7 linked regions of the Callithrix jacchus genome follow. The protein of the gene in region 6 interacts with the protein of the main gene of each other region in a pairwise test. Links are inferred from orthologs where the notes say so. Each region holds a gene or a part of one and is shown on either strand. Other genes may lie near its edges.

Region 1 (4,254 bases), on a different chromosome or scaffold from region 6:
TGTGGGCCACAGGATACTGGCCCTCCCACAGGACACCCCCAGATGTGTGTGACACAGCATGGGAGCCGGGAGGGGCCCCAGGCCAAGGCAGAGACCAGCCTGACACCAGTGGGGGGTGTCAGGTGGCGAGGCCCAGCTGGAAGGGACTGGGGTGGGCAAGGCAGGCTGAGTGGCCTGAGAACACCCTATTCTGTGGGTCCCTGAGGCCCATGGTAGGGGGTGGCGGCATGGGGCAGGCCTCAGCACTGTGACTCAGGCCTCTTCCCTAAGATAGCTGCCAGTGAGGCTGTGAGCCCTGCCCTGGAGATGGACAAGCAGGCCCGATGCCCCCAGCCCCACTTCCCAGGGGTGCTCTGGCTGGTGGCAGACTGGGGAGGGATGTGGGAGATGGGGTGATAACGGGGTGTACTGGTAGGTTCCCGGGGTTCCAGCCCTCAGGTCTGACCCTCAGCTTCCTATTCAGGTGGCCGTGGGCACCTCAGGCGGAGCGAGGCATTGTGGCAATGGTGGGTGGGGTGGGAGGGGACGAGGTGTGGAAGGGAGCTGGGCGGCCTCGGAGGGCACAGCTGGAACCCAGGTGCTGGAGCAGGGCCTGGAAAGGTCAGTGTGCCCCACCTTTCCAGGGCTCACAGGAGGCCGGGCAGCTGGGAAATTCCCCACTGGACTTTGGCGGGCAGGCAGGAAACCTCCCCTACAAGTGACACCCCTCCCCCCAAGCAGGGACCAGCTCCCCTCTACCCATGGCCAGGGAAGAATCTGCTCTGCACGCCGGGCTGTGCCCAGGGCTCAGGGCCTCACTCTTCGGGCTTCAGTTTCTGCACCTGCCCCATGGTCACTAAGATGGTTGAAGGGGGCAATTCTGGCACCAGACACGGCTGGTCTGAGCAGGAAGGGCCTCTTTCCAGAGGGGGCCCCTGCCCCAAGGTTGGAGCAGATAGGCAGAACCCCCTTTTCCCCATCTCCTCCACACTAGGCCACCTGGGATCTGGCCCTTACCCTACTGGCTGCACCCTCAGCCCCCCTGTGCCTTCCTTGGCCCCCTGGCTCTCCCACCCAGGGGCTTCTTCTGCCCTGGCCAGCCTGTCCCACCAGCATATTGGGGCCCACTAGACTTGTGCCCCCATCCTAGGAGGTGCCCTCTTGCCCTCCACCTGTGTCACTGCAACCTTCCCCCTCCCCCCTGCCCTTACTCCTCTAGATCTGTGCTGGCTTCTGGGCGGAAGGACCCACAAACCTGGGGTGGGCTAGGTCTAACTCCTTCTGTGTAGAGGGAGAAACTGAGGCCCACAGGGTGAGGCGACTGGCCCAGCTGAGCAGGGAGGCCAGCAGGGCTGGGATGGTGTGTAGGAAGCTGCCTCACCCTTCCTTCCTTCCTCCTGTTGGGGAGCCCTCTGTCCCCCAACCCCAGCTTGTCCTGTGCCCCAGCCTGGAGCAGCCCCTATCAACAGACCTGTCTGGCCAGGGGGCGGCTGCAGGCAGGAGGAGCCAAGTAGCTGAGTGCATGAGTCTCGCTGAGGCTTCGCCGGCTGGGGGCCTTCCCGGTGAATGGAATGCTGGGCTTGCAGGCCAGGGGGTGAGGGCAGAGTCTGAGTCCTCCCCACGCTGCCCTTCTGGCATTGGGGTCTGGGTGCGAGCCTGGGGGGCTGCGCCCAGCCTGCTGCCAACTTGTTTTCACTGCAACCCCCTCCTGACAAGCTCTGCCCTGCCCCCAGCCCCTCCCCAGGCCAAGACCAGACCCTCCCCAAGGGAAGGAGGCCCCGGCTCAGGCCCAGAGTGCCAGCTGTGCCCTCTCCTGTGGCCTGGAGCCACCAAGGGAGGGGTACTCTACTCTCTTGGGCTCCCAGAGCCTAAGCAGCAGGTGCAGGAGGTGGGCTGGGGTGTTGCCCTAATGCCAGGGTCACATCAGGTACCGAAGGGTCGAGGGATTGGCAGGGGACAGACATGCTTGCTGTCTGTACCCTCTTGGACTCCAGAGGGTACTGGGGGTGTGGGGGGTGGGGCCGCCCCCAGATTCTGCTTTGGGTGGAGCGCACTCTGTGCCCAAGGCCTAGGGCTCAGCAGAGGGCAGGCGCGCCCCTCCCTCACCCTCCCGTCCTTGGAGACGCCCCTTCCCTGCCCTTGCCGCTCTGGTGGCTTGGGTTTGGGATCATGGCACACACAGTCTCCTGCCAAGACTGCAGCCCCACGGAAGACAGCTCGGGCCCACGTCTGGCCCCCTCCCTCACTGCAGGGGCCCAGCACAGAGGGGGAACCCAGTGGGATTGGCGGCTGCCCCGAGGCCTGCATGTGTCCTCATCTGGGCACTGGGAGGTCTGGAGCCTGTGGCCTCACCCTGCCTGGGGTGATGTCAGAGACGGAGGCCCAGCAGGGGCAGGAGCTGGAGCTCTGGTCCCAGCTTTGTGCCCCACACAGGCCTCAGTTTCCTCATTGGCCCTCCTGTCAGTAGGGCCAGGTTGTCCCAGTGACCTTCAGGCTGCCTGGGAATGCTCTGAGGTTAGTTCTAAGGGGAGGCCTTCAGGCTGCCTGGGAATGCTCTGAGGTTAGTTGTAAGGGGAAGGGCTGCCTTACCTTCCCAGAGTGCCCTGGCTGGGCGGAGAGGCGTGGAGAGGTCTGGCGGAGCCCCTGGGCCCTCCTGGGCTTCCTGGACCCCTCACCCAAGTGCTTTTGGCCTTTGCAGTCCCAGGAGAGGGCAGACTGAGCCCCTGGCAGAGGCCAGTCTGGGTATCTCAGGTGGCCAGAGGCAGAGGGGCACCAGGCATGGCCGCGGAGCCGGGCTGCAGGAGGTGCTGGAGAAGGGAGTGAAGCACGTGCAGGAGGGATGGGGCTTCCTGTTTACCCCGGCGCCCCCTGGCCTCTGACAGCTGGCTCTGTCAGCCACAGATGTGGTGGAACCTTTCCATCAGAGGATGTGCCTGGTCCCCACCAGTCCCGGTCCCAACGGGGGCTGAAGGGAGGTGCCAGGCAGGGGTGCCTATGGGCAGAGGAGCCTTCTGCTCCTGAGAGAGGGTCCGGGCAGGGAGAAGTGGGTCCCCCAGCCTTTCCTCTCCTCTCCCTGCCTGCTCGGGCCCCTGACCCCTGCACCGGAGCGACACTCTAGAGCTGAGGGGCTTCCATTTTCAGCGGAGGTTCACAGGTAGAAGCCTCTTGTTCAGTGGGTGGAAAGCAGAGGGCCAGGACCGGAACCCAGTGGCCAGGGGACCCCACACTCTTGCCTTTGCTGCTCCCTTCTCCCTGCCTGGGGCCGCCCGCTGCTCCAGCTGATGCCTTGGAGACATCCATGGCCTTGTGGGCTGGCTTCTTGGCAGGTTCCCCTCAGCTTTGCCTCCAGAATGCAACTGAGTGTCCTTTCTCCCGAATTGCCCCTACCCTGGTCCCATCCACCCTGATTCCTGCCTGAATGACAGTCACCCCTCCTCGGCCTTGCTGGGCGCCGCTGCCCCTCACACTTGGTGCTCAGGGAGCTCCATGGAGGGCGACATCGGGTCATGTGACCTCCTCCCAAGGTGCCCATCATGCTCAGCACAAAGTCCAATCCCGCCCATGTACCACCCTGCTGCCCAGGTACTTGTCCACAGAGCAGGGCCCGGACCTGGGATAGGTGGCCTGCAGCAGGTTCTGGGAAGGTGCAGAGCCCTCACCCCCCACCGGGCGTGTCACCCAGTGGTAAACTTGAACTGCAGTGAGATGTGGGCTTAGAGATGGCAAAGGGAGCCTGAGGGGCCTGTAGCCTGGGCAGGAGACAGCCCCTCGGCCACACCCCAGGGCCTCAGAATCCACATGTTCCTGTTCCCCGAGGCCCTCCCTCCGCTCTCAGCCCAGCCAGGTGTCTCCCCTGCAAAGCAAGTCTCTTCCTAGGGATGAATTCTTCTGTTTAAAGAGTAAGATTCTGTTGGCCGTGCGCCATGACTCACGCCTGTAGCCCCAGCACTTTCGGAGCCCGAGGCGGGCAGATCACCTTAGGTCAGGAGTTCAAGACCAGTCTGCCCAATACGGTGAAACCCCGTCTCCACTAAAAATACAAAATGAGCCAGACATGGTGGCTGGCGCCTGTCATCCCTGCTACTCTGGAGGCTGAGGCACAAGAATTGCTTAAACCCAGGAGGCGGAGATTGCAGCAAGCTGAGGTTGTGCCACTGCACTCCAGCCTGGGCAACAGAGCGAGACCTCAGTCTCCAAAAGAAAAAAATTTTTCTTCACCTTCCTACATGAAAAAATATGACAATATAGCAATACTACTACAAAATCATCAGAATG
Region 2 (3,268 bases), on a different chromosome or scaffold from region 6:
GTAGAAACCAGAGCTTGACTTGAGCATCAGGACAGCTCCAGGGCAGACAGGATGCAGAGAGCCCTGAATCCAAGTCCTGTTCTGTTGTCCAACCCCAAAGCCTTGGGCAGGCGCCGTGACCTCTCAGCTTCCATTCTCCCTGTAAGTGACCTGGAGACACAAGTGTCCATTGGAAGTCAATAAAATAATGCAGGTAAAGCTACCTGGTATTCAGTAAGTGCCCATTAGTGGTGGCTGGTACTGTGGCTTGTACTGGCAGGGCCACACCTTCAGGTGTCCCCCGGGTGTACCTGGCTGGCATTTCCCTACCTAACGCTGCTCCCCCCTCCTTGCAGGACTTCTGCACATCTCCAGGCCCTGCCCAACCAGGGGCCCATGCCCCGCAGAGCCCTTTTGTCCTGGCCCCAAATGCCACCCACCTCGAATGGGCTCAGAATGCCAGCTTGACCCTGGGGGCCTGGCCCCCCGTGAACTCCCTGCGGGCCTGGCTGGCTGTGCCTGGGAGGGCGTGCACCGACACCTGCCTGGACCACGGGCTGATCTGCGAGCCCTCCTTCTTCCCCTTCCTCAACAGCCAGGACGCCTTCCTCAAGTGAGTATGGGCCCCCACCCCCCAGCCCCCATCCTTGCTGGCCCAGCAGGCTCACCATGAGCTCTCATACCCAGAACTGGCCCTCAGCCCTTTCAGCGGTGGGGGATTTAATGCTTTCCAACGAGTCAGGAAGGACCCAGAAGGGACCCTCCAGGCCAACATCCAGGTCACTGCTGCCCCACTCTTGGCCAAGCCTTAAACTAGAGGAGAGGCTCCTTTCAGTCCCTGCTCTCCTTCACCCACTCAGCCCCCTACCCAGCCTGTTTGGGCGTTGTCTAGCCCAAACCATGAAAGCTGTCCTGGGTGTAACAGTAGGGAGCTGTAACACATTTCCTTATCCATTCTGGGATGGGGATGGGCCAGAGAAGGGGAGCAGGCAGTGCTGGGCTGTGGGGAACCCCTACCCTGGCCCAGCCCTTCAGCCCAAGCAACCAATGCTGAGTGATGGTGCTATGCATGCCAGATTGCAGGTGCCCTGTGACAGCACCGAGTCGGAGATGAACCACCTGTACCCGGCCTTCGCCCAGCCTGGCCAGGAGTGCTATCTGCAGAAGGAGCCCCTGCTCTTCAGCTGTGCCGGCTCCAACACCAAGTACCGCCGGCTCTGCCCCTGCCGTGACTTCCGCAAAGGCCAGGTGGCCTTGTGCCAGGGCTGTCTGTGAGGCCACCTCTGCCGCCCTGCCTGGCACCCACGGCTGGCTCTCCCCTGACACAGGAGAGAGTACCAGCAGGTCCTGGGCTCCGGCTGCTTGTCCTCCTCGCAGCTCCCCCAGGCTGGAGCTTACTTCCTTCGCCTGGAAGTGTCCAGAGGAGAGCCGTGCAGAGGAATAGGAGGCGGCGGCACACCGAGCCCCTGGGACCTCCCAGGCAGGCTCCTGGTTCTCTCCTGGGAATTCATGGCAGCATCAAGGCCAAGCAGATGTCGGGCTGCTCGGAGAGTCTGCAGGGCCCAGGAGCAGGTGGTCAAGGCCCCTTGCTTTGTGCAAGGCTGGATCTGGGCCAGATGAAGGGGGCCAGTCATTCTTGGGCCCAGGATGGGGCTTCTAGACCTGCAAGAGAGGGTAGCAGGGACCAGGCTGCCCCATGGTCCCTGAAGGGTTCAAGGAGGGCCCCTCCCCATGGGCCTGGATGGTACCTGCTCCCGGCAGGGGAATTGGGGGCTTACCCTCCTCCTGTGAGGGGAGCCAGGAACACAGGGCCCGCTGGCATTTGGGTTGTGGATGCAGGGGCAGAGGGTGGGTGGAAGGCTAAGCCAAGGGGCCCTGTTCGTGCCTCCCCTTAGCCCCTTTCCTCTCGGTTTCCCGATCCCACCACCTTCCCGCTACACTTGGGGACCACAGTTTGGGCTGCAGGGACCACCTAGGCCCTGGTTGAGTTGTTTCTTTCTCCTGCTTGTTCCAACCCTTTTCACTCCGGGCTTCTCCCAAAACCCATCCTGGCATGACCTGCCACTCCAGATGGTGGATTTGTTCCAAAGCCTCAAGCCCTGCCCCCTCCAAGGGGAGGTTTCCACCCCAGGCTCAGAGAACAGGCTCTGGGACCCCTGCCCGGGGGTGGCCTTTGTGCACCAGGCACTCCCACAGATACTGACTCCTTACCCCCCAGCATCTTTTGCAGACAGGGGCTTGGGATGGAGCCTCAGCCCCATGGCACTCCATGCCTAGTTTCCAGTTGCCCTGTCCACTTACCCAGGCAGCCCTCAACCCCACCCATGTCAAGTCCTTGTCCCTACCTCCAGCCTCAAACCGCCTTGAGATCCAGCCGTCCTTCCCTGAGTGGCATGCCTGCCACAGGACGCCCCCTTCCCCTCTCCCCCCGCCCAGAGCCCCGACTGCCTCAGCGGGTCAGGCCTTCAGAACACTGCCACCACCCAGTTTTATAATCCTGCTCCCTCTCCCAGCAACCCCACCCACCAACCTAGGCCTGCTCCTCCACCCTTCCCAGGAGGCAGCCCCAGGACGCTGAGAGTTGGTGGAGGGGCCAGGCTGGACACTTCCCACAGGAGTCCCCTCCAGACCTGGCTGGCCCCTGCAGCCGCAGAAACCACGATGGCAAGAAACTCATTGGTTCCCAAGGACTGACCTGTGGGGGAAAGCAATAGAGACACTCTTTTTTTCTCTTTTTTTAAAGATTTATTTCTTGAAATAATAAATATTTTATTGGGATGTGAGATGCAGAAGAGGAACTATGCTGGTTCTCTTTTCCTGCGGCATCCAGAGCTCACCCAGGGTGGAGGGGCAGATAGCTGATGTCTCCAGGTTCTGCTCCATGTCATGTGGGGCACACGGGGTGCTCAGGTCTGCAGAGCTGGGTGCTGTCTACTTCAAGCCACCCAAAAGAAGTCCCTGCTGGTGGCAGAGACCCAGGGTCATCTCCTGGCTGTTCCCAAGCTGTGACTGCAGGCACCCTGACAAGCAGTGGCATACTCAGTCATGTCCACGTTGGGCTGGTCTCTGCCCGCCTCCAGCTGGCTGTGACAGTGGCAGTGTGGGGTCAGGGAACACAAATCCATTTTGATAAGAGCCTGAGCCAGATAATGAGAAAATGAGCCAGTGTTTACCACCTCGGGCACTGGGCTGAGTTTGTCGCTTGCTTCAGTAGTCATTTCATGCACTCAGCTGCCCTAGCAGGTAAGTACTATTATATGAATCTTTCCATTTTACATCGAGAGGCACA
Region 3 (4,289 bases), on a different chromosome or scaffold from region 6:
CCCCCCCATCCCCTTCTCTCACCTGCCCACCCAGTTCTCCATCGCTCCTCCCTCTGCTGCCCCAGGGCAAGGGAGGAGCAGACTGGTCACAAACACTACACAGGCATCTGGGCGTGGAGGGTGCTCTCTGCAGGGACAGAAGCCTGGCGGTTACCTCTCCAGTGTCCAGAGAGGATGGAGAAGGTGGTGAGACTTGCCCATCCCTTTATGAGCCTCAGCATGGGAACAGGGAGGATGGCTGCCTTTTCCATGTGTAGAGGCTACATGGTTGGGAGCTGACCTCAGCCTTCCAATTAAGGCCCAGTCCCCACCCCTGAGCCCTGTAGGGGGTTCTTAGCTCCTCCCCAAGTCCTACCTAGGGACTGTTTCTAGGCTAGCTCAGGCACACACAAAAGGCATTTTTTTTTTTGAGATGGAGATCTCACTCTGTCACCTAGGCTGAAGTGCAGTGGTGCCATCAAAGCTCATTGCAGCCTCAAACTCAGGCTCTCCTTCCTCCTCAGTCCTGAGTAGCTGGGACTGCAGGCGAGCACCACCAACGTCCAACTAATTTTTGTATTTTTGGTGGAGATGGGATCCAGCTAAATTGTACAGGCTGGGCTCGAACTCCTGGCCTCAAGGGCAAAGCGCTGGATGACAGGTGTGAGTTACCACACCTAGTTAGAGGGCTCCTTGTAGAATGGTTGTCATCGGTTCCCACCCCTGCCCTCCCAGATACCTAGAAAGCAGAGGAGGAAGGCCCCACTGAGGATGTGCAGACCCTCTCAGAGGAGCCACCAGAAGCGCCTTCCTTAGGTCTTCCAGAATCAGGACCCGCCCGGCCTGTGTCCTGCTTGCCTCCCGCTTTCTCTTCCCTCCTTAGATAAGCTCCTTACGGAAAGCACGTCTCAGACGCTTTTTGGCCAAGGGATAAGCTAAGTGGATTGATGGTTTAATCTCTAGAGAAGAAGCCGGCGATGTAACACCCCCGGGTGCCAGCATCCGGGTTGGTTCAGCGAGGATTTGCTTCCTGTGCAGCTCTACAGGCTGGGGAACCCGGGGGGAGAGGTGCAGCCTCGAGCCGAAGCCACAGGCCTCACATTCTGAAGAGCCGAGAAGTTCATCTGAAGTCCAGCTTTGAACACTGGAGAAGTGAGACTTGGAACCCTCCCCAGCCACAAAGCCTCACTCTCCTTGCCCCCTTCTCACTTTGAGTCCTTCCCACCCCTGCTCCTCACCCCACTCTTAGTTCTGCTTTCCAGGAAAAAAAAAAGCTGTTGCTGTTGGCTCTGAAAGGCACCCGAGAGAGGAATCCAGGGAGCCCTCACGTTGCTGAGGTGGGCCAGCTCTGGGGTGGAAAATGACCAAGAGAAGGGTAGGAATGTGCCTGGGAGCAGTCGCTTAGCCCCACTGCCCTCCCTGAGACCCAGGGCCTGGAATGTGAGGGAGGGGTCAGAGTGGCTGAGCCAGAGCCGCCTAATGGCTTCGGGTTGGGAAGGGGGTTGTGATGACCACTCCTTCCCCCGGCTGGGCTGGCCACTGAGGTCAGCATCTCCACCCTGACTGAATGGCAGAGGCCAGGGTCTCCAGAGAAGGGCCCATGTTCCACCCAAGTCTTCAACCTCTGCCTCTTACTCCAGCTGAGGGAAGAAGAAATGGGGTGATTTCACTGCCTGCCCCTTCTCTGATGCCAACCCCTCTCCATGCGCTCTCTGCCTCCCAGATTCCTTGTCGCTGCCCCTCTCCCCGGGTCTACCCAGTACACATAATCCCGTCCCGAGCTGGGTTTGGCTTTGGCAGTTCCCTGGAGAAGTGAGGGGTGGGGGTGACGTGAGCTCCCGGGGCCAGGGCCAGGCCTGGCTCCCTCTCTGGAAAAGTCCCACTCCACCCTCCCCTGTGCAGCCCAGCAGGGGCCCATGCCCCCTCCCCTGCCGAAACAGACACACATTTGTGCTTCTGACTCCTTTCCATGTCGCTCATCTGGTGTCACTCCTGGCCCAGGACAAGGACAGGAGAGGTCAGAGGTGGTCGCTCTGGTGCCAGGCTAGATCCTGGTCTGGACTAACGTTGGTTCCACCTGGCCACACCTCCCCACACTACCCAGTGAAGACCAAGGAAAGAGACCTGTTGAGGGCTCACCCTTTCACCCCGAGGGCTTCCCTCTGTGACATGGGGCACTTCTGGAGAAGGGTTGGACCCTGTGTTTCTGTCTGAGTGCCTCAATTCCCTGGTCCTCACACAGCCCTCCACTCCTGGGTCTGGGAGGCCACGCCAACAACTTTCTTTCCTGTCAGCCTCTTCTGCCATCAGGCTGAGCTGCATCAAGGGCACCCACCTGCGTCCCTCACGGCGACCCTGCTCCTCCAACTCAAGGAGCGCAGTGCGGGGCACAGCCTCCCAGAGCACCGTCCTGGGGGAAGGGCAGGAGGCTCCAGGCGCTCGTGGAGGTCGTGGGTCTGTTTTCCAACGTTACTATGTGACTTAGGGGAATTTTCGCTCACTCCCTGCACGTGTGATGGGGCCAGAGTTCCACGGGATCAGACCCCCTCCCCAGGAATTCGACCCCAGGGGCTGGAAGATGTCCGAGGCCACTGGAACTGGGGCCGGGGTCGTGGCAGGGGCGCGACCGCACAGCGCAGGGAGAAGGGGCGACGCGGTCGCGCGGGGCCGTTGGTCTAACGGGACCCGGGGAAGGGGCGGCCGGGGCGGGGTCCCGGGGAGGTCTCTACCTGCTTTGCGCGCCCCCGGCGGCCTGTTAACCCTTCTGCGCCCGGGCGCTCTCTCCCGGCAGCCTCGCTCCGCGGCGGCCACTGCGGCCCCTGAGCCGCGCTCCGGGCACCGCCGCCTCGGCCGCGACTCCGCCCCCTCGCCCGCCCCCGCCCCGCCCGCCACGCGCCCCGGCCCGCGCCCCTCGGCGGCCCCGGGGTGTGGACGGTCGGCTTTGCGGTCCGGCTCGCCAGGGCCACCCACCCCGGGCTGCGCGCCGGGCGCCCCCCGACGGCTGCAGTGGGGAGAAGCCCAGGCGGGCCCGGCCGGGGTCGGAGGCGGCCGTCGCTGCCGGGCGCTGTCCTCGTGCCCAGCTGGAACTCGGGACTTCAGCAGCCCGGGCCTCCGAGAGGCTCGGGTGGGCGGTGCGAGCGCGGCGCGGAACAGGCGGGGCAGCCTCCAGGGGCGCCAGGAGCCGGGCGGCCTGGGACAGCCGTGGGTCTGGGAGGGCGGCGCCCTGGACGGGGGTGCCCGCGGCCCCCGACCCGCGTGGGTGCAGGCTCTCTCCTCCCGCGGCCTCCCTGCGAGCTCAGTCACTCCTGCCTCTCCCGTGCTGGGCAGTGAACCCTGTGGTTCGGACTGCTGCGACCTCTGGGAGCTTCGGGTTTTTCCTCTGTAAAGTTTTGCACTCGGGACTTAGCGGAAGGACAGCGTGCTGACTTCTGGGTCAGGCTGACTTGCTCTGAACCTCAGCTCCGGCACTTGCCAGCTCTGTGGGCTTCGGTGAATACTTCCACCTCGGTGTGGTGCCGTTTGCTCAACTGCAAAGTGGGACTAATCTAATATGTATGATGGGCTTGGAGATGTCTCTATCCATTTACATCTGGAAGAATGCACTCCAAACTCAGAAGTATTGGTGGCGTCTGGGGAGCAGGGCAGGGTGGGGGGAAGAATGAAAACGGCTTTTGCTTTTTACTCTACGTGTTATGTTATTTTTATGAAATTTTTAACCACAAGAGTAATCCATCTATTGGTTATATTAAAAATTAATATATGGAAGCTGGGCGGAGTGGTGAAAGCCTGTAGTTCTAGCTATTCCGGAGGCTGAGGTGAGAGGTTCGCCTGAGCCCAGGAGCCTGAGGCTGCAGTGAATTACGATCGTGCCACACTGAGACAGAGAGAGACCGGGAATAATACCTCGTCTCAAAGATAAATGCATAAATAAAATATGTAAAATGGCTGGCATAGAGTAGATAATAAATGGTCACTGATTTTTTTTTTTTTTAGATGGAGTCTCCCTCTGTCGTCCAGGCTAGAGTACAGTGACGTGATCTCGGCTCACTGCAATCTCCGCCCCCCAGGTTAAAGCGATTCTCCTGCCTCGGCCTCCTAAGTAGTTGCGATTACAGGCGCCTGACATGGCGCTGGCTAATTTTTGTATTTTTAGTAGAGACGAGGTTTCATCATGTTGGTCCGGCTGGTCTCGAACTCCTGACCTCAGGTGATCAGCCCTCCTCGGCCTCCCAAAGTGCTGGGATTACCCACCTCGCCCAGCCTATTCAGTGTTTTAAAGGTTTTGTTTGTTTGTTGTTTTTAAGACAGGC
Region 4 (4,300 bases), on a different chromosome or scaffold from region 6:
CCAGCGCAGGGATGGCCACATTGTAAGCTACGACGGTGGAGCTGCGCCCTCTGCAATCCGCACTGAATAAATAGTTGACGGAGAGGAAGGAAAGGGAAAAAGTTATGAATGAAAACAAGTTCTCTCTCCCTCTCTCCGGCAAGAGGAGGGGAGGAGGCTGAGATTAGCACAAACTCAGGAGGGCGGACTTCCCCACTTTTTTTTTTTTTTTTTTTTTTAGACGTAGTCTCACTTTGTCTCCCAGGCTGGAGTGCAGTGGCGCGATCTCGGCACACTACACCCTCTGCCTCCCGAGTTCAAGCGATTCTCCTGCCTCAGTCTGCCGAGTAGCTGGGAATACAGGCGCGCGCACCACGCCCGGCTAATTTTTATATTTTTGGTAGAGACGGGGTTTAGTCAAGTTGACCAGGCTGGTCTCGAACTCCTGACCTCAGGTGATCCGCCTCGGCCTCCCAAAATGATGGGATTACAGGCGTGAGACACCGCTCCCGGTCGACTTCCCCATTTTTAAAGTGGCAGTGCCCTCTCCCTCGCCTTTACACTGAGCTCAAAAGAAGAAGAAAGTTGCGGCTGGCTTTGGGACAGGCTAATCTATCGAGGGGTGACCGGTGAATTCCGGGGAATAGCTTCCCTACACACACACACACACACACACACACACACACACAGCCTTTGCCAGTCCCATGCCTGAAGCACACTTCAACACAGAGGGCCCCCGGGGACACCCCAAGAGCCGCCTGGAATCCCTCTCGGGGGTGAAGGGCTCTCGGAGAGGACAATCCAGGCCACCGTGCCGCCGCTCAGGGTAACCGGGGTTCGGGGAGACCCTGTCTCGCTACACTCCGCCGCCGCGGACCGTCCCCCACCCAGCCACCCAACCTCGAGCGCTCCAGAAGCCTCGGCTCCCGGGGTGGGGGGGGGGGGCGGGTGGGGCCGCGCCGCGCAGGGTCGTCCCTCCTCTTTCCTCCTGTCCCCTCCCCTCCCGGAGTCCGGGCCAGGGCAGCCGCGCAGCCGAGTCCGCACCTGCCGCGCCGAGCAAGCCCCGCCTGCGCGCCTCCCGCCCCGCGGGCCGAGCGCGGCCGCCGCACACTCACCTAGGCCGAAGCGGTGGCTGGGGGCCAAGCCGTGCGACCCGGCCCAGGTCCCGGTGCGCGCGGCGGCGTACACGCGCCGCATCAACCGAGGCGGGGAGGGCGAGGCGGCATCGCCGGAGCTGCTGCGCCTCGGCCCGCGGCCTCCCCCGCCCCTGCCGCCACCGGGCAGGAGCGCTCCTCGCGGCCCCCTTCCGGCTGCGGAGGGCAGTTCTCCCGCGGCTCCGCGCGGCCCCGGCCGGACCTCTCAAGGCTGGCGCTCGCCGGGCGGCTCAGTAACATCCACCTCACGAGGTCTTCCGCAGTCCCTTTCTAAGAACCAGTTTTTACAAATCCTTTCGGGAAGGCTCTTCGAGTCTCAGAAAAACGAGCAGGGGAGTGGCGGAGAGTCGAGTGCGTGACGGGCTAGCTGACGGCACGGTGTGCTCAGAGTACGTCTCCGGTTCTGGTCGCTCCTCTCAGGGAACGAAGGAAGGGATGGCGGCTTCCTGACGAACGAAAAATCCACGTCACGGGCGTTCGAGACTCCGCGGCGTCCGGGTCAGGGCTCGAACCGTAGTCGACGGGCGGGTCACGGAGCCGCGCAAGCCCCGCGCGAGACCCTGGAGCACGCGCCTGCCAGGCAGAGGCCGCCGCGGCCGGGTAGGGGGAGGGGAATCTTTTTACCCGTGTTTTTAGGGGGGAGGGGTTAAGGGAGCGAGGTTTGGGGATCCTTCTCGGAGACAGGCGGGCGTCGTCCCGTTCCCCGCTCAGGCCCAGGCGCTTTGCCGATCTCACACGTAGGGCAAGTGGGGGCACAGCGTCCCCGGAAACTCCGGTCCTGGCAGGTCAGCCTCTCCGGGGCAGCGCTCACACCCAGTCCTCCGAGCCTGCAGTTCCACGTCCGAAATGCCTGCGACAGAGGATTAGACATAGAAGCTCGTGAATGTCCCTTTCTTCGAAGGGCTAGGACGCGGGGCGGGCCGCTGGCCAGCTCGCCCGCAGCCCGTTGCCATGTGCTCCCTGTTGCTGCTCCCAGTGATTGACAGGCCGGCGCACAGTCGGCGTGTCAGCCGCGAACCAAAGTAACATGCAGTCCTGCACGTTTTTGCCGAGGTGCTTTTGCCCCCTGGAATGCCTAGAAGTTCAAACAACGTTCAAGCAACGCCTCTGCGCGTTAGCAATCAATACACAGAGACGGGAAATTCAGGTTTTAAACCAATGCTTCTTTCGGGATTAGGTCACCAACAATGCCTAAACAAACACGCATTTGGTCCACACACCAAGTGCCAGCCCCTCTTCGTATAAAGGCATTAACGGCCCTGTGTTTCACACATTCGATCGTTTCAGACTTTCAACTTGCTACTGTTCGGTTAAGGAAAGGAAGGTGAAAGGGATCCTTTTTCTATTAGCGGTAGCATTTACTTTAAGAGCATTACTTTTAGCATGGGAATGCAACCGGTGTTCTGAAATGCAATGAATAATCTTAGCTCGAACGCGAGTTCAAAGCAATGTTCAGTTCCTTGCAGAAGTCAACATTTCTCACCTTATCTTTCCTAAAATGTCTACGGAAGGAAACGGTACTTACCTAATGCAAAGATTGGAAATTGCTTTTCAGGCACATTTACAGCGACTGTAGTTGTTCCTTATCCAGGGTAGGGAACTCTGCCTGCTGCTATCACTCTGCAAACCACTGCGTGCTTTACAGAGCGATCTCACTCCGGCTCCGCAGAATTTCAGCTCCTTGCCTCCACCTCCACCTCCACTCCGGGACACGCCTCCGGTGATATCATGTGTCAATCTCTCGGGCTGCCCGAAAACCTGGAACAGGATTTCCTTAAATTCGTTTCCTCTTTCGTTTATGTGTATCAACTTGGAAACGTTGCCCTTCAGACTCGTGTAATAAACATCCTCTTAAAACTTCGGGAGTGCCTCTACAAATTCTGCAAATGCAGTTTGTCATAGAGGAATACATTCGGATTTAGTTAGCAATCTTTAATTGTCGATCTCAATTAAAAGGATTTTTGAACTCTTTAAGTTGAATTAGAAAAGAATTGTTAGGAATAAAAGAAGAAAAAAGTTGTATGCCAAGCCATCACTTCTGAACAACTAGAGGGAAAATGTACATTGACACAAAAAGATGATTATATAATATTACAGTTCCTATATACAACACAGTTCAGAATATGTGAAATCTAAAGTTCAAAAGGTGGCATGTCTTGCTGCAAATGTAATATGAGGATATGTAATAATGGGGACATTTTCTGTTTTGGGTTTTTAAAAAAATAATTGCTATACCTGGCTTGTTATATGATTTCCCACAAATCAAGCACATGGAGAAGAAACCAAATTCTTTCCATTATGTAATATAGTTGTATAATTTTGCAAAAATACCAACCTGTATATTTTTAATTAGCTAAAAGTCAATTATAATAGAAAACATTTATCAAGAAGTTTTATAATTCTTAGTAATATCTGATGTGACTGGGAAAAAAACACTAAGTAGGAAACTTGCTTTCTTACAAACTACGGGATTTTAGACATTTGCTATCAAAATTGTGCCTTTCATACTGCAATGAGAATAACTATATGTGGAATTTAAGGTTCCATAGAAACTTTTAAAAGCCACCTAAAAACCAAACTTATAGTTAGTGGAAAGGAAATATTTTTTCGGGTACTGTGTATCAGGAGTAGCTTAAAGTCTGGCAAAACAAAGCAACAAAAACAAAACTCCAGAATCTAAGTCATACTTGAACATGAGTATCGAAATTTTTAGTTCAAAGCATTTTTAGTCTCCTTATTTACAATAGCAAGCACTTCTGTTGAAACTTGTAAATATATACATACATTACACACACACACACACTTCCACATACACACGGGATTTTCAAATGTCTGAGCACATTCAAAAATTAAAGTTGTGTTTGGAATTCCACTAAAGAACACAGGGCATTGTTAAGGACATCAATAACAATAAAAAAGCATCACTAGAAAATTGCATAGAATAAGAAGCCAAAAAGCTTGATATTCACATAAAGCTACATATTCACTCTTAATATTATGAATGGTATTAAAATAGGCTATTTAAAAGCATAAAATTGATTGTATTGTATGTTCTTTTTTTAACTAGATCTCATTAGATTTTGGGATGTAATGAAATTTTACCAGTGATGGATATGTTTCTTGTGACTGTATTTGGAATAGACAAATCAAACACAGAATGTCATATC
Region 5 (4,202 bases), on a different chromosome or scaffold from region 6:
GGCAGGAACAGAGAGAGGCTGCTTATGAGTGTTTTTTGGGGGTGAAGAAAATATTTTGGAACTAGATAATCGTGATAGTTGCACAATTTTATGAATATACTGAAAACCATTTACTTTAAAATGGTGAACTGAATGGTAAGTGAATTACATATTAGTAAGTTTTTAACAAGACCTTACAGAAACCAATAGTAAAAATGTATCATAAATCTGGGAGTGAAACTCCAACCTATGTGCCTGGAGGATGGGGAGAAATATTAATGAAACAGTTTTGGCAAACATGGAGGGAAAAGGTGTTTCACTTTTTTGAACATCTTACATTACTTGCTGGTATTAACTGGCACATTTATTTAAGAAATTTGGCAGTTTGTATCAAAAAAAGATCAAGCACATATTCTGTGATCCAGGATTTTCACTGTTGGAACTCTAATATCAATGTGTGGCTGGCATAGTTGGCACTCAGTGATGTTCTTTCCTATTATAGAGGTGATAACCATAAGGAGAGATAATAAATTATGCACTTAATTCCTGCAGCCAAATTCAGCTCTTCTGCTTTTTACAAAAATAAGAAAATGTTCACACTATAACGTACTATGACCATGAAATTTCTGTTCCTTTAATCTTCGCAAGCTGCATAAATTGGAAAGTGAAATTTTTCTGTAAAATATAGGGTCTTGTTTCTAAGGATCCTGAGCATATACTAGCAGAACAGTGAAAGATTTCATGTAGAGTTCCAGTCTCTTTTTAAAAGGCATGTAGTGGGGTGGGAATAGGGTGGGGGAAAAGTGAGCAAGCTTGAGCCTCACCCAAACACCATGAAGCTACAAAAAGCCAAGAAATATTCAGATTGGCTTATGTATAAAGCTTCATGAAAATGAGCAGTGACTATGCATTGATTGATAAAATCAATTACTACTGAAAGAAGTCCCTAAAGTGAATCTATGTGTTTTTTAACTCTCTCCTAATGGTGATATCTCTTTAAATATCGCATTGCTATTATCTGGGGGATATATAATTCCTTTGTTCAAATAGAATTCTATCAGTTCCTCTAACATGAAGAAAACCATGTTATTCTACTTTGTACCCAAGCCTTTCAGTCTATGAAGACATAATATGAAGTCAACTTGCCCAAATTGCAGGCAGAACACCAAACAAGGAGAAACAGCTTCCGAAATCTCCATTTTCCAAAAGCTGACAAATGACAACTGAACTTCCGGAAGGCTCACTGCATCACCACTCCTCTACAGCTGGTTCCATGGAAGCATGGAGAGCCCATCAACATACCTGCTACACCCACAAGGCCGCATCCTCCTACCCACCCAGCATGGTAGAGAGAGAGGGATTGTGACATAAGCAAATACCCTCAGGCTGATATATGTAAATGCCAGCCTATGAGCTTCCTGGTAGGGACACCAACAGTGAACGCCTCATAACAGCCAACTTCTTGCAACTCCCAAGCTGACGGCCTCACAAGGGGGAGGAGAGACTCCTCTACTGGAGAACTGATAGCAGTATTCTGGTAGAGGGGGCATCAAAAATCCTAGCGGGGCAGTGTTAATCATGTAGGCACCATGGAAACTGCTATGTGTGTTTGCTGTCCATGTTGTACATGGCAGCGATGTTGTCCTCGGTTATGCTCCTGTCTATGCTGCAAGTTCATCTTTACCTCAGAGCGGAACTGCACCTGCTTCCCCTGCCCTTACAAAGATGAGCAGAACTGCCAGTTCTGCCACTGTACCTGTGCTGAGAACCCCAACTGCCATTGGTGTTGCTGTTCTTGGGCCAATGATCCCAACTGTAAGTGCTGCTGCACAGCCAGCAGCAACGTCAAGTGCTACTACTATGAGAGCCGCTGCTGCCGTAATATCACCGTGACTTTCCACAAGGGCCGCCTCAAGAGCATCCATACCTTGTAAGTGCCAGGCACCAGATGTGCAGCCACATTGGCTCAGGAAAACTAGGGACCCCTTGCTAGCTGTGAAGTCCACAGGGCAGGCCAGTGCCCCTCTGTGTTTATTTATCTAAAAAAAAGGAGCCAAGAATTTTGTAGCAATTAACTGTATCATATATGGTCACTATGTATGTAGACCATGAGCTCCAATCTAAGCATCATCGACTAGAGCACTTCACTCTTCTGAACCCTCTCTCATCTGTACAAAATAGTAATAGCTAATACTTGGTGTTTACACAATTTTCCAGGCATTTCATGCATAACCCAAAGTCCACTGTTCTCATGAGGAAACTGAGCATTTGAGAAGTTTCCTTCTCAAAGGAAACTTTGAGAAGAAGTTGCCCCAGGATGACACAGCTGGAAAGATTCAGAGTCAGAATTGGAACCTAAAATTTGTGATCTTAACTCTAGAATGCTGTATTGCAAAACAGAGACAAGACCCCCCCACCCCCATGATATTGTAGATATAAGAATTAATGTATATTCTTTATAATCTGCATGTTATAGAAAAATAAAAAGTGCTCATTTTCTTCCTATTAACTCTAAATACCTGCAACATTTATTGGAAAAGTAAGACCTTCTATGGGGCACTTTTGACCCTGAGAGCCATTTAAGTACCCCAGACATCCAGGAACTCCAACTGCCTTCTCTTTTTCTCATCCAGAAGTCACGGAACTTGGGGTCTCAATTATTCATTTGGAGTACTAATCCTCCATATCAGGTCTTACATTATCCTCACCTGCTCTGCCAAACAAGCCTTTTTATGTCACACATGAGGGGAGTCTGAAGTACTAAGAGCACACTTCTTAGAAAAGATGACAGCACTATAAGATGACAGGATTAGAAGAAGCAGAAAAATGGCAGGCCAGTTTGAAAGCTTTCAAGCCTGGAAAAGCAATTCTGCAAGCAGAAGTTTAGTGAACTTAGGGGAAAGATATTATCCATCTTGCCATTAAATCTTTAGTAGCTCCTTAACACCCATAACTCTCCACCTATGGCCCTCTCATAGTATCTGCATAAATAGGAAATCCAGGGATTCTCAGTCCAAGTCTAGAAATACTAAAGTGTGGGAAATAGTGTCCACATTCCTCTCTCAACTACCTAATTCTCTGTGCAACAGCAACTGAGCCTCTGAGCCCATTTCAACAGGAAAAAGATAAAATTGGTCTTTAGGAAAATGCCTCAGGCATCAGTTGCTCCCTAACGTTATTGTGCATTGAAGTCACTTGGGGATCTTTAAAAATTACTGATGCCCGATATCCACCCCAGAAACATTCTGATTGTATTGGTCTGGGGTACCACCTGAGCATCTGAATTAATGAGCATCGCCCCTTCAGGTGATTCTAATGTGCAGAATGGCCTGCAGGTGCAAAGGTGGGAAGCCAGGAGATTTGACAGGTGATACAGTAAGAATCCAGGTGCAAGAACAGGCCTGATTTTGGGAGAGAGGGGAGGCTGTGCAGAGGAGCAGAGGCAGGCTATCTCAGCAAGAAGATAAAGCACTGGTCTTGATGCTGCTTTGGAATGGAACCATGGCCACTGAATGCCCTGACCAAGCCTGAGGTTTGTGGAGGATGCGCAGGGATGCTAACGCATGTGTCAGGAGGTTGGCTCTGGGTGCTTGTCTTCAATCTGGCCTCTCTTCTGGCTTCTGACTCTTGGCCTCCTCTGCTTCTCATCACCACTTTCTGCTCAGCACCTTGCTTGTTCTGCCTCACTCTGGTCTCATTCATCCCTCTCTACCTTACTCTTTTTCACCTCTACCACAGCTCCCTAGGCCATTAATACCTGTCTCTTAGCCCTGAGCCCTCTTTCTCGTCCTCCAACATCTCCCTCCCTACTTCTTATTTATGAAAATTCTAGCTCATGAGCTTCCTAGTAGGAGTACCACCTGTGAAGGACTCACAACAGCCTCTTTATATTATACCTTGATTCTCAAGGCCTTTTTTTTTTTTAGCAAACTAAAGACCTGTACCTCCAGGTGATCCCTTCGGGACACAAGCAGGAGTCTGGGAAAGCAGAGAGGAAACAGAACTGAGAACATTGAGGCCAGCATGCCTAGAGCTCCCAGATCCCTAAAGGACAAATTTTTCAGGTGCCTTAGTCTACACAGGGAGCATTCTCTGTCGCCACATGGCCACTCCATTCCAATATGCTTGGGAAGTATCTGTGACTGTGGACTCAGACATAGGTCCCTGGCCAAGGGAGGGGGGAAGAAGAGAGGGACACATAAGGAATGCAAGACAACAAAAGC
Region 6 (3,938 bases):
ATAAAACAAAACAGTGATTACTATCTGGAAAATGCACCCCAGAAAAGGTTCTTTCCAACCCTGTGGTTCAGTCACTCTAGGATTCTTTTTTTTTTTTTTTTCCGGGTCAGAAAAATCAATATTTCATTCTTAAAACTGTTTACATTGTTAATAATGGATCACTAAAGCTTCGAAGTCAGGTTACCAAGTTGAGATTTAAAATTGTGTGTTTCTACACCGTAGGTTATAAATTAAGCCAGTTTCTAGAAAGAGAGAAAAGCACTTTAAATGAAATACCAATAAAACGTGATCTAGGGTGTGTCACTGGGTTGTTGCTTTTTCCCCCCTCCCTTCTTAGGTATCCCCATGTTTATTTTTCCCTTTCTGAGCTCTGTTCTTACTTACCGTGAGAAAATGCAGCATGTAAGCAACATGCGTGTGGGACGGGTTGATTTAAGAACCCAGCTCTTATCAGCAAAGGCTTGAAAGTTCCAAGGAAAACGCAATGTTTCTTCATAGATTTGCTCCCTACCTTCCCTTGCCCCTTCCTCCACTAAATCTCAGCCGCGGCGGCAGAGTGTAGGGACTATGGCTGGTTTCCGGCCCCAAGCTCATCGCGGAGCACGGCGTCCTGGCCGCGGCCAGGGCGGCGCAGCTCCTGGATACGATTCGTCCTACGCTCATAAATCAAACGCTTTCTATGAATGAGAATGTCGTCAAAGAGATCAATTGCAGGAACACATGCACAAATAAAAATCCTCTTACGTATTTGCCGGGGATCCCCGTCCGAAAGCATTAAGTTAGAAGGCGTTTAGTCATAATTCATTTTTATTGCTCTTTTAAAACAACAGCTTGGCTGAGCTGCGGATGCCATGAACAGCTCAGGGCCTCGGCAGCGTTTTGTTTCTTCCTTATTCCTTCCCATTCTAGTAAAAGAGCCCTGAAAGAGGCGTTTTGAGCCAAGCAAACCACTTGCAGGCGATCATTTTAATCTTGACCAAGCTTGCCTTTCACCCACTCTCCCAAGGCGTTGCAAGAGACCAGTGCGAATCTTCGGGTGCTGACCTACTTGCCTAGAGGGCTAAGGGTCTCCTACTCCGTGGAACGGCCCCCAGGATTTCTAGGGGGAGGGAGATTGGGAAAGAATTGATCGAGCTACAGAAGCCAAAGGCTCAAGGCCAGGGGAGGCTGCCTTTGTGTGCGGTTCCCGGAGAGCGGCGCTCTGGGCTGCCAGCCGAGGCACAGCCGGCCCGGCTGCGAGCGCCCGGCCTGCAGGGAGCCAGGAGCAGTAAACAGAGGAGGGCGGCCGCGGGCCTGTGTGCTAGTGCAAGCTCGTTATCCCAAGAAAAGGACTCCACCCAAGATGCCCCCGAAAAGAGGCCAGGAGAGAGGAAGAGAGGCTGAAGGAGAGCAGCGCCGAGACGGCGGAAGTAGCAGAGGAGGTAGAGTGGCTCCAGCTGGGGTTGGCTTTGTGGCAGGCGCCCTGCAGCCGAAGGGGTCCTGAAAATCCAGGCTGAGGAGGACAACCAAGGTACAGGAATGAGACAACAGGGGAAAATGTACCAACTTGCTCGCTCAGGCTTGGAGGGAGGAATACTCGCACAGCCAGCACTTACCTACCTCTTCACATCCTGTCCCCTCCCCCACAGGAGTTCCTTCTCTCCCCGCTGCGGGAAGCTGGAGCTGGCAAGGAAGCCGCCTCCAGGAGGACTGCCTTGCCTTTCCCCTTCTCCAAAACCAGGATTCCCAGGAGCTGAAACTGGGGCAGGGGTGACCTTTCCTGCCTGTGCTCCCTCTTAACCATGCTTGGGATGGATCCAAGTCACAGAGAAATACCATTCCAAAAGGAAATGTTTGGGGAGAATGTTTCATTGCTACTGAGGGAGACCAGGGTCAAAGGTCTGCGTGGATTTTCTTTCTTGAGGGGACAGGTCTGGGGGGAACTTCAGTAGTGGAGAAGAGAATACAGAAGACTGAAAGGGTGACTAACATATTTGAAATGTGCCTGCCTTGAAAAAAAAAACTTCCTTGTTCTAACGGGAGGAAAGGCTGAAGGGGAGTGGAAACTCCAGACCCACATACATTCCTCACTATAAATTTAATCTGTCGGATTCCAACTTTGTACACATGGTTGGAGTAAAATTTATACAGCATTGGCTGTAAAGCTTCTTGGATGATCTCTCGATTTCTCCTACCCAAGATTGCATCAGTTCTTGATCTGTTTGGGTTTTTCTCTCTACAAGCCCAGGGTTAACGTGAAACCTAATAGTAAACAACAATTAACTACCCCATCAGCCTCAGGGTAGAAGGAGGGTGATGGGGAACAGGACCCCTGGCCTGGGATGACACTCAGATTTGCACGTGTCTTTCTAGGCAAAGACTAGAAGGTTCTCATAAGCAACTACACAGTCCGTTGGAAAGGGGAGGAGGTGACGTTGGGGTAAAGTGTTCCGTCCACCATCAGCCATCTGTCCACCGCCACTCCCACCTGCCAGTCCCCACACCCACTCCAGACGTGCAGCACAATGAGGGGGGTTATAAAAGGAAGCTCTCTCTTTCTTCTAACATCCCTCTCCAGAAAAAAAGGAACGCGAGGGGAGTTCAGCGTAATTTGTTGGAGCTGTGGACTGGCCCTGTGAGGCCCACGCAGGCTCCTGGGTCTCCGGGAGCTGGCAGATGGCCTGCAGCACACGGCCCGGCCCCCACGCTGGCCACGTCATCTCTCTCCCCCGCCCCCTACCCCTCAAAATCCGGCGGCTAGTAGTTCCGCATCCCGGAGGGTTCCCCGTGGAAAACTGAGCGGGGGAGACAAAGGGGCGGAGGAGGGAGAGAAAGGGGCGGAGGGGGAAGATAAAGGGACGGAGGGGGAAGAGAAAGGGGCGGAGTGCGAGGAGAGAGGGAGGGTGGGGAAGAAGAGCCTGGCCGCCCCCGGCGTTTTCGGGGCTCTTCCGCCCCCGCCCCCGCTCCCCCACCGCCGGTCGAATTACAGAAGCTCCTCATTGCCATGCTAACGACGAGAAAGGGTAGTTGGGAGAGAGTTTCGGAGACCATCCAGGAGAGAGGAAAGTTTCTTTCTTGCCCTCGTCTCCTTCACGCTCACCCAGCCAGCCCTCTGCGCTCTTCCTTATCCATTCCGAGCTTGGAGAGCCGGTGGCCCAGCCTCGCCCTCCGCCACGGTTTTCTGCGCTCCTCACAGCCCCACGGCCTCCCAGTCCATCCTCAGAGCAGAGGAGTCGCCCTGGGAACCCGGGGCACTGTGTCAGCCGGATTCCCGGCCTTCCTGCTCGGCGCGCTCCAGGTTCGGCCCGCGTACTTCCGGCCACCTGGCCCACTGATTCCCGCCCCGAGAGAGCCGAGAGGCCTCTTCCCTTCTCACCTCTCGCCAGTTCATCTTTCGGTGCACGGTGGGGAGGAGGAGGGGACGGGGACGGGGGACGCCTCCCAGCCCCCACCTCTCGGAGGCCGGAGGGGGAGGGAGCAGCGGAGTCGGGCGCGCGCAGAAGGCAGGCTCTGCTCTCCTTCGCCGCAGCACACCGAATCGGCCTGACAGTCGCTGCCGCAGCTGCCGCCGCCTGGGCTGCCTGGGGGGGCGACTGCGCGTCACCTAGATGAAGGAGCGCCGGGGATTTAAATGCCACTGAAATGGTGATCCATCACCGCGGAAGCCGGCAAACTTTTGCAGGAGGCTCAGCCATTGGTTGACACCGTCACGTGCCCCTCCCATAGCGTCCTCCGCCCTCCGGCCCCCCCCTCCTGCGCACTGTACATTCATGTCATTTTTCTTCTCTGGTCCCATGGAGGAAGTGAGAAAGTTGGTACGGTCACCCAGGGCTTCGCAGGACCAGGTCACTCAGTGACAGATGGACAATGCAAGAATGAACTCCTTCCTGGAATACCCCATCCTCAGCAGTGGCGACTCGGGGACCTGCTCAGCGCGAGCCTACCCCTCGGACCACGGG
Region 7 (3,973 bases), on a different chromosome or scaffold from region 6:
ATGGGCAAGCAAAGCTCATCTGTATCTACAGCCGCTCCCAATCATCGCATTACTGCCCCAGCACCGCCTCCTGTCAGATCAGCAGCAGCATTAGATTCTCATAGGAAGCCTTCACGGAATCACATGTGCATTCAACGGCTCTAGGTTGCGTGTTCCTTATGAGATTCTAATGCCTGACGATCTGTCACTGTCTCCCGTCACCCCAAAATGGGATCATCTAGTTGCAGGAAAAGGAGCTCAGGGCTCACACTGATTCTGCATGATGGTGCGTTGTAGAATTGCTTCATTATATATTATAATTATATAATTTCATTATATATTATAATGAAACAATTATACATGTTATACATATTCTATTCTATTAGTGTTATCATAGAAATAAAGTGCACGATGAATGTAATGCGCTTGAATCATCCTGAAACCATCCCCCCTGCCCCAGTCTGTGGAAAAGCTATCCTCCATGAAACTGGTCCCTGGTGCCAAAAAGGCTGGGGACTGCTATATGTCCCTGAAGATGGCCAGGCAGTTCCAGCTAGAAAGCTCATTTGAGAACATCTCAGCCAAGGGGCCAGTTATTTTTTGTTTTTTGTCTGAGACGGAGTTTCGTTCCCTCTCGTCACTCAGGTTGGAGGGCAGTGGCACAATCTCAGCTCACGGCAACCTCTGCCTCCCAGGTTCAAGCAATAATCCTGCCTCAGCCTCCCTAGTAGCTGGGATTACAGGCATGAACCACCATGCCCAGCTAATTTTGTATTTTTGGTAGAGACAGAGTTTCTCCATGTTGCTCAGGCTGGTCTTAAACTCCCGACCTCACGTGACCCACCCGTCTTGGCCTCCCAAAGTGCTGGGATTACAGGCGTGAGCCACTGTGCCGGTTCCCCGTGGGCAGTTCATCCCTGCACCACCCCTCCCTGTATTTCCTGACCCGCTCCACATCCCAGACCTCTGACTGTGCTCCAAAACCAGCCCCCTGGCCAGGCACAGTGTCTCACGCCTGCAATCCCAGCACTTTGGGAGGCTGAGGCAATGGATCACCTGAGGTCAGGAGTCCGAGACCAGCTTGGCCAACATGGTGAAACTCCATCTCTACTAAAAATACAAAACTTTTCTGGGCATAGTGGCATGTGCCTGTAATCCCAGCTACTTGGAAGGCTGAAGCAGGAGACTCACTTGAACCTGGGAGGTGGAGGCTGCAGTGAGTCGAGATCACGGCACTGCACTCCAGCCTGGACAACAAGAGCAAAACTCCCTCTCAAAAAATAAAAAACCAGCGCCCTAGAACACCAACCTCCCCACTAATCAGTGTCCCATTGCCTGTAAGAGCTGACATCCCAGTTCCCCAGGGCTTACCTGGGGCCCGTGCTCGCCTCCTCTTGCTCCTCCTGCAGGGCCAGAGACCCCAGCAGCCTCCTCCTTGGCCCCCGGCCCCGGCTCTCTCTGGCTCCTATAGCCAGGTCCCCAGACTTCACCTCGGCCTGGGAGAGGAAAGTGGGGGCCTGGGAGGGGCCCAGAAGCCTGAGAGGTCCCCCGCCGGGGCGGGCCACAGCCCCTCACTGGCTGTGCCACCTTCACTTGCACGGGGAAGGCAGGGCCAGCTGGGGTACTGGCAGTAGCATAAGAGGCTGGAGTGGGGCCCCCATAGGGAGACGCTGGGAGCGGCGAGGCCAGGTTCGGCTTTAGGGAGCCTGTGCGGTAGGCAGGAGGTGGCGGGGGCTCATATGCCTAAGGAGAAATGCAGACCAGAAGCCTAAGCGAAGCCCCCACTCTGGGACCCACATTTGTGGAAATGACCCCGAGTGTGGGGCAGCACGGGTGTTTGCATTTGACAAGGTCCCGTCCTCAGGTGACTGACATGTTGATACTTGCAGCCACGCTTCCTCCATGCTGGGGTGCACAGCACACACATGACGGGGTAGACTGAGAAGCAGGAGGCTGCAGACGGGAAGGAGAGGCAGGACTGGGGAGTCACCTGTCGGTCTGGTCGTCGTGGCGTGTGACCCCGACCCCCATTCAGCTCAGCCAGCGTGCTGCTCAGCAAGTCTATCTCAGCGTCCAGGCTGCCGGGGCGCAGGGCACTCCTGTCTGCAGGGAGCCCCTGGGGTTGGAGCCAGAGCAGAGAGAATACAAATCGCCACGACCCCACTCCCGCCCTGGCTCTCTCACAGGCGGTTCTAGGGGACCCCGCACGTCCCACCCAGCAATCCCAGTTCTCACCTGCGTGCGCTGGGGTACTCCATGGGACCCCACCCAAGCCGGCCCCCGATCCTCTGGTGCCCCTGGGGCCTGGTAACACTGCTCTGATGGGAGGGGGCAAAAATTGCCCCTGGGGTGGGGCTGGAGTGCTGGGTTGAGGGAAGAGAGATCAAAGGTGGGGTGGCGGAGGACAGGAGGGGTGTGCATTTGGGGCGCTGCCCTCTCCGCCCCTCTTTACCTCTCCCCCGAATCTAAGGTCCCAAGAGATCTCGGGCAGCTGTTCCCATCGGCTTGGGGAAGGGGCAGGAGGAAGCCGGCAGGGCAGGAGGCTGGAGCTGGAGGACAGAGGTGAGCGCCATAGCGGGGTGGCTCCTGTCTCACGAGGGCTGCCTTACCTACTCCGTGGGCTGGTGGTGGCCCCGGGATGCCTCGGGGGATCGCCCTCCCCTGAGGGGCTCTGGTGGGCTCCGGCTGCTTCGGGGGCAGCCAGGTGGGCCCCGACATGGCCTAGAATGGGGAACTCCGGACAGCGGTCTTGAAGCCCAGAGCCTCGGGCCTTCACCCCCTCTTCCGTCCTGCCTCGTTCCGGACTCCAGAAAACTTTTCCTGGCTTTTTTTTCCTCTTCCTCCCTAATTTTGGGGGCGACCACGCCCCCGATGACGTCACCACATTCCTGGGGGAGGGTCACGTGGGCCCCCTAGGCCCTAAACTGCCATTTCTCTCTGAGTCGGCCCCCTCCCGCCGAGAGGGAAGGGCTCTCCGAAGGAGCCCGAGTCACTGGGGGCTGTGGGCAGCTGGGAATGGGAGGTGGGCGCCCAGGCCAGTCTCCAAGTCCACAGATGCCCCCTGGGCCCCGCGCCCCAGCCCTGCACATGGCAGCCTAGCTACGGGAAGCTGAAGGTCCTATCTCCACCCCTCTGCAGAGCTCTCCTTTCCCACCCCCTCCCTCTCACCTACCCACCAGCGCGGCTCAGCCAGCCTGTAGTGTTTTGGTCTTTTATTCATGGTCAGCAGAGTTAGAAAAATAAAACAGAATGAAAACATCACCACCCCAGTGGGCCACTGAGTCTGGCCAGGATGAGGAAACTGAGGTAGCCGAGAGTTCGGAGGGCCAGCCCCTAGCATCAAGGCACCAGTGAAGGGAGGCTGCGGACTCCCTCCCCTGCATGGTGGGGATGCCCGCCCGGAGTTACTGTGCTGGGGTCCCTCTGCCAAAGGAGGTGGGTGTGACACCCAAGCCCAGAACCCCCTCAAATCCTCCCCTGGGATCCAGGTCCCGAGGGGCAGGGCCACAGGACACAGTGCTTCCCTCCTCCTCTTCTAAGGTTCAGGATGGGCTGCCTGCCTGGGCCCTCTCTACCCAGCCCTGGAGGCAGGGGCATCAGAGATCAGTGCAGGTGACCGGGGTGACACCGTGAACCAGCAGTGTGGGGCCCAAGTCTCGGCTTAGAGTCTCCAGTAGCGCCAGGTAGCGGGGGTAGCGGGCAGGGTCGGCGGGCGGCCGAGGCAAGTACAGGAAGGTGAGGGCTGTGGTGGGGCCCTCGGCATCCCCACCCTCCGGCCCACCCGGCCCTCCTCCCGTGCCACGCCCCTGCTGGGCCCGAACCAGGGCGTTGGCGCTGCGTGCCAGGGCCTCTGCCTCCATGTCTCCCTGCCTACTGTTCACAAAGTCCCCTTCCTCCTCTGCCTCGGGTTCCCCAGCCTCAGCCCCCTCACCCCACACCACCTCCTGCACCTCAGCCCGGATCCGCAGTTGGCTCAGCAGCACCCGCAGCCGCC

The links.
Region 1: the proteins of HOXA1 (region 6) and EGFL7 interact in binary tests that used the Homo sapiens proteins (3 or more experiments, as listed by UniProt). The link is inferred for Callithrix jacchus from reciprocal best matches to the Homo sapiens genes HOXA1 and EGFL7.
Region 2: the proteins of HOXA1 (region 6) and MGAT5B interact in a two-hybrid assay, tested with the Homo sapiens proteins (2 studies listed by BioGRID). The two-hybrid records come from large-scale screens. The link is inferred for Callithrix jacchus from reciprocal best matches to the Homo sapiens genes HOXA1 and MGAT5B.
Region 3: the proteins of HOXA1 (region 6) and ADAMTSL4 interact in binary tests that used the Homo sapiens proteins (3 or more experiments, as listed by UniProt). The two-hybrid records come from large-scale screens. The link is inferred for Callithrix jacchus from reciprocal best matches to the Homo sapiens genes HOXA1 and ADAMTSL4.
Region 4: the proteins of HOXA1 (region 6) and SPRY1 interact in binary tests that used the Homo sapiens proteins (3 or more experiments, as listed by UniProt). The two-hybrid records come from large-scale screens. The link is inferred for Callithrix jacchus from reciprocal best matches to the Homo sapiens genes HOXA1 and SPRY1.
Region 5: the proteins of HOXA1 (region 6) and TRIM42 interact in binary tests that used the Homo sapiens proteins (3 or more experiments, as listed by UniProt). The two-hybrid records come from large-scale screens. The link is inferred for Callithrix jacchus from reciprocal best matches to the Homo sapiens genes HOXA1 and TRIM42.
Region 7: the proteins of HOXA1 (region 6) and TRIP6 interact in a two-hybrid assay, tested with the Homo sapiens proteins (2 studies listed by BioGRID and IntAct). The two-hybrid records come from large-scale screens. The link is inferred for Callithrix jacchus from reciprocal best matches to the Homo sapiens genes HOXA1 and TRIP6.

What each region holds. Positions count from the first base shown.
Region 1 is NC_133502.1:185,120,567-185,124,820, reverse strand, and holds the start of EGFL7 (epidermal growth factor-like protein 7), read right to left. Parts: upstream 2,801-4,254; 5' UTR 2,569-2,800; intron 1,559-2,568; 5' UTR 1,504-1,558; coding exon 1,451-1,503; intron 1-1,450. UniProt on the Homo sapiens protein: Regulates vascular tubulogenesis in vivo. Inhibits platelet-derived growth factor (PDGF)-BB-induced smooth muscle cell migration and promotes endothelial cell adhesion to the extracellular matrix and angiogenesis.
Region 2 is NC_133506.1:132,799,356-132,802,623, forward strand, and holds the end of MGAT5B (alpha-1,6-mannosylglycoprotein 6-beta-N-acetylglucosaminyltransferase B), read left to right. Parts: intron 1-335; coding exon 336-592; intron 593-1,055; coding exon 1,056-1,254; 3' UTR 1,255-2,768; downstream 2,769-3,268. UniProt on the Homo sapiens protein: Glycosyltransferase that acts on alpha-linked mannose of N-glycans and O-mannosyl glycans.
Region 3 is NC_133519.1:10,457,224-10,461,512, reverse strand, and holds the start of ADAMTSL4 (ADAMTS-like protein 4), read right to left. Parts: upstream 2,801-4,289; 5' UTR 2,709-2,800; intron 2,543-2,708; exon of another isoform or gene 2,315-2,542; intron 1,928-2,314; coding exon of another isoform or gene 1,690-1,927; intron 1,688-1,689; coding exon of another isoform or gene 1,649-1,687; intron 1,647-1,648; coding exon of another isoform or gene 1,614-1,646; intron 1,612-1,613; coding exon of another isoform or gene 1,489-1,611; intron 1,487-1,488; coding exon of another isoform or gene 1,185-1,486; intron 128-1,184; 5' UTR 43-127; coding exon 23-42; intron 1-22. UniProt on the Homo sapiens protein: Positive regulation of apoptosis. May facilitate FBN1 microfibril biogenesis.
Region 4 is NC_133504.1:74,302,575-74,306,874, forward strand, and holds the start of SPRY1 (protein sprouty homolog 1), read right to left. Parts: upstream 2,801-4,300; 5' UTR 2,659-2,800; intron 1,984-2,658; 5' UTR 1,095-1,983; intron 869-1,094; exon of another isoform or gene 1-868. UniProt on the Homo sapiens protein: Inhibits fibroblast growth factor (FGF)-induced retinal lens fiber differentiation, probably by inhibiting FGF-mediated phosphorylation of ERK1/2. Inhibits TGFB-induced epithelial-to-mesenchymal transition in lens epithelial cells.
Region 5 is NC_133518.1:43,744,948-43,749,149, reverse strand, and holds the start of TRIM42 (tripartite motif-containing protein 42), read left to right. Parts: upstream 1-1,402; 5' UTR 1,403-1,568; coding exon 1,569-1,909; intron 1,910-4,202.
Region 6 is NC_133512.1:30,997,651-31,001,588, forward strand, and holds the start of HOXA1 (homeobox protein Hox-A1), read left to right. Parts: upstream 1-1,138; 5' UTR 1,139-3,839; coding exon 3,840-3,938. UniProt on the Homo sapiens protein: Sequence-specific transcription factor. Regulates multiple developmental processes including brainstem, inner and outer ear, abducens nerve and cardiovascular development and morphogenesis as well as cognition and behavior.
Region 7 is NC_133503.1:12,855,965-12,859,937, forward strand, and holds the start of TRIP6 (thyroid receptor-interacting protein 6), read right to left. Parts: upstream 2,801-3,973; 5' UTR 2,698-2,800; coding exon 2,589-2,697; intron 2,343-2,588; coding exon 2,215-2,342; intron 2,096-2,214; coding exon 1,853-2,095; intron 1,723-1,852; coding exon 1,351-1,722; intron 1-1,350. Other genes in the region: SLC12A9 (solute carrier family 12 member 9), read right to left, coding at 3,576-3,973. UniProt on the Homo sapiens protein: Relays signals from the cell surface to the nucleus to weaken adherens junction and promote actin cytoskeleton reorganization and cell invasiveness. Involved in lysophosphatidic acid-induced cell adhesion and migration.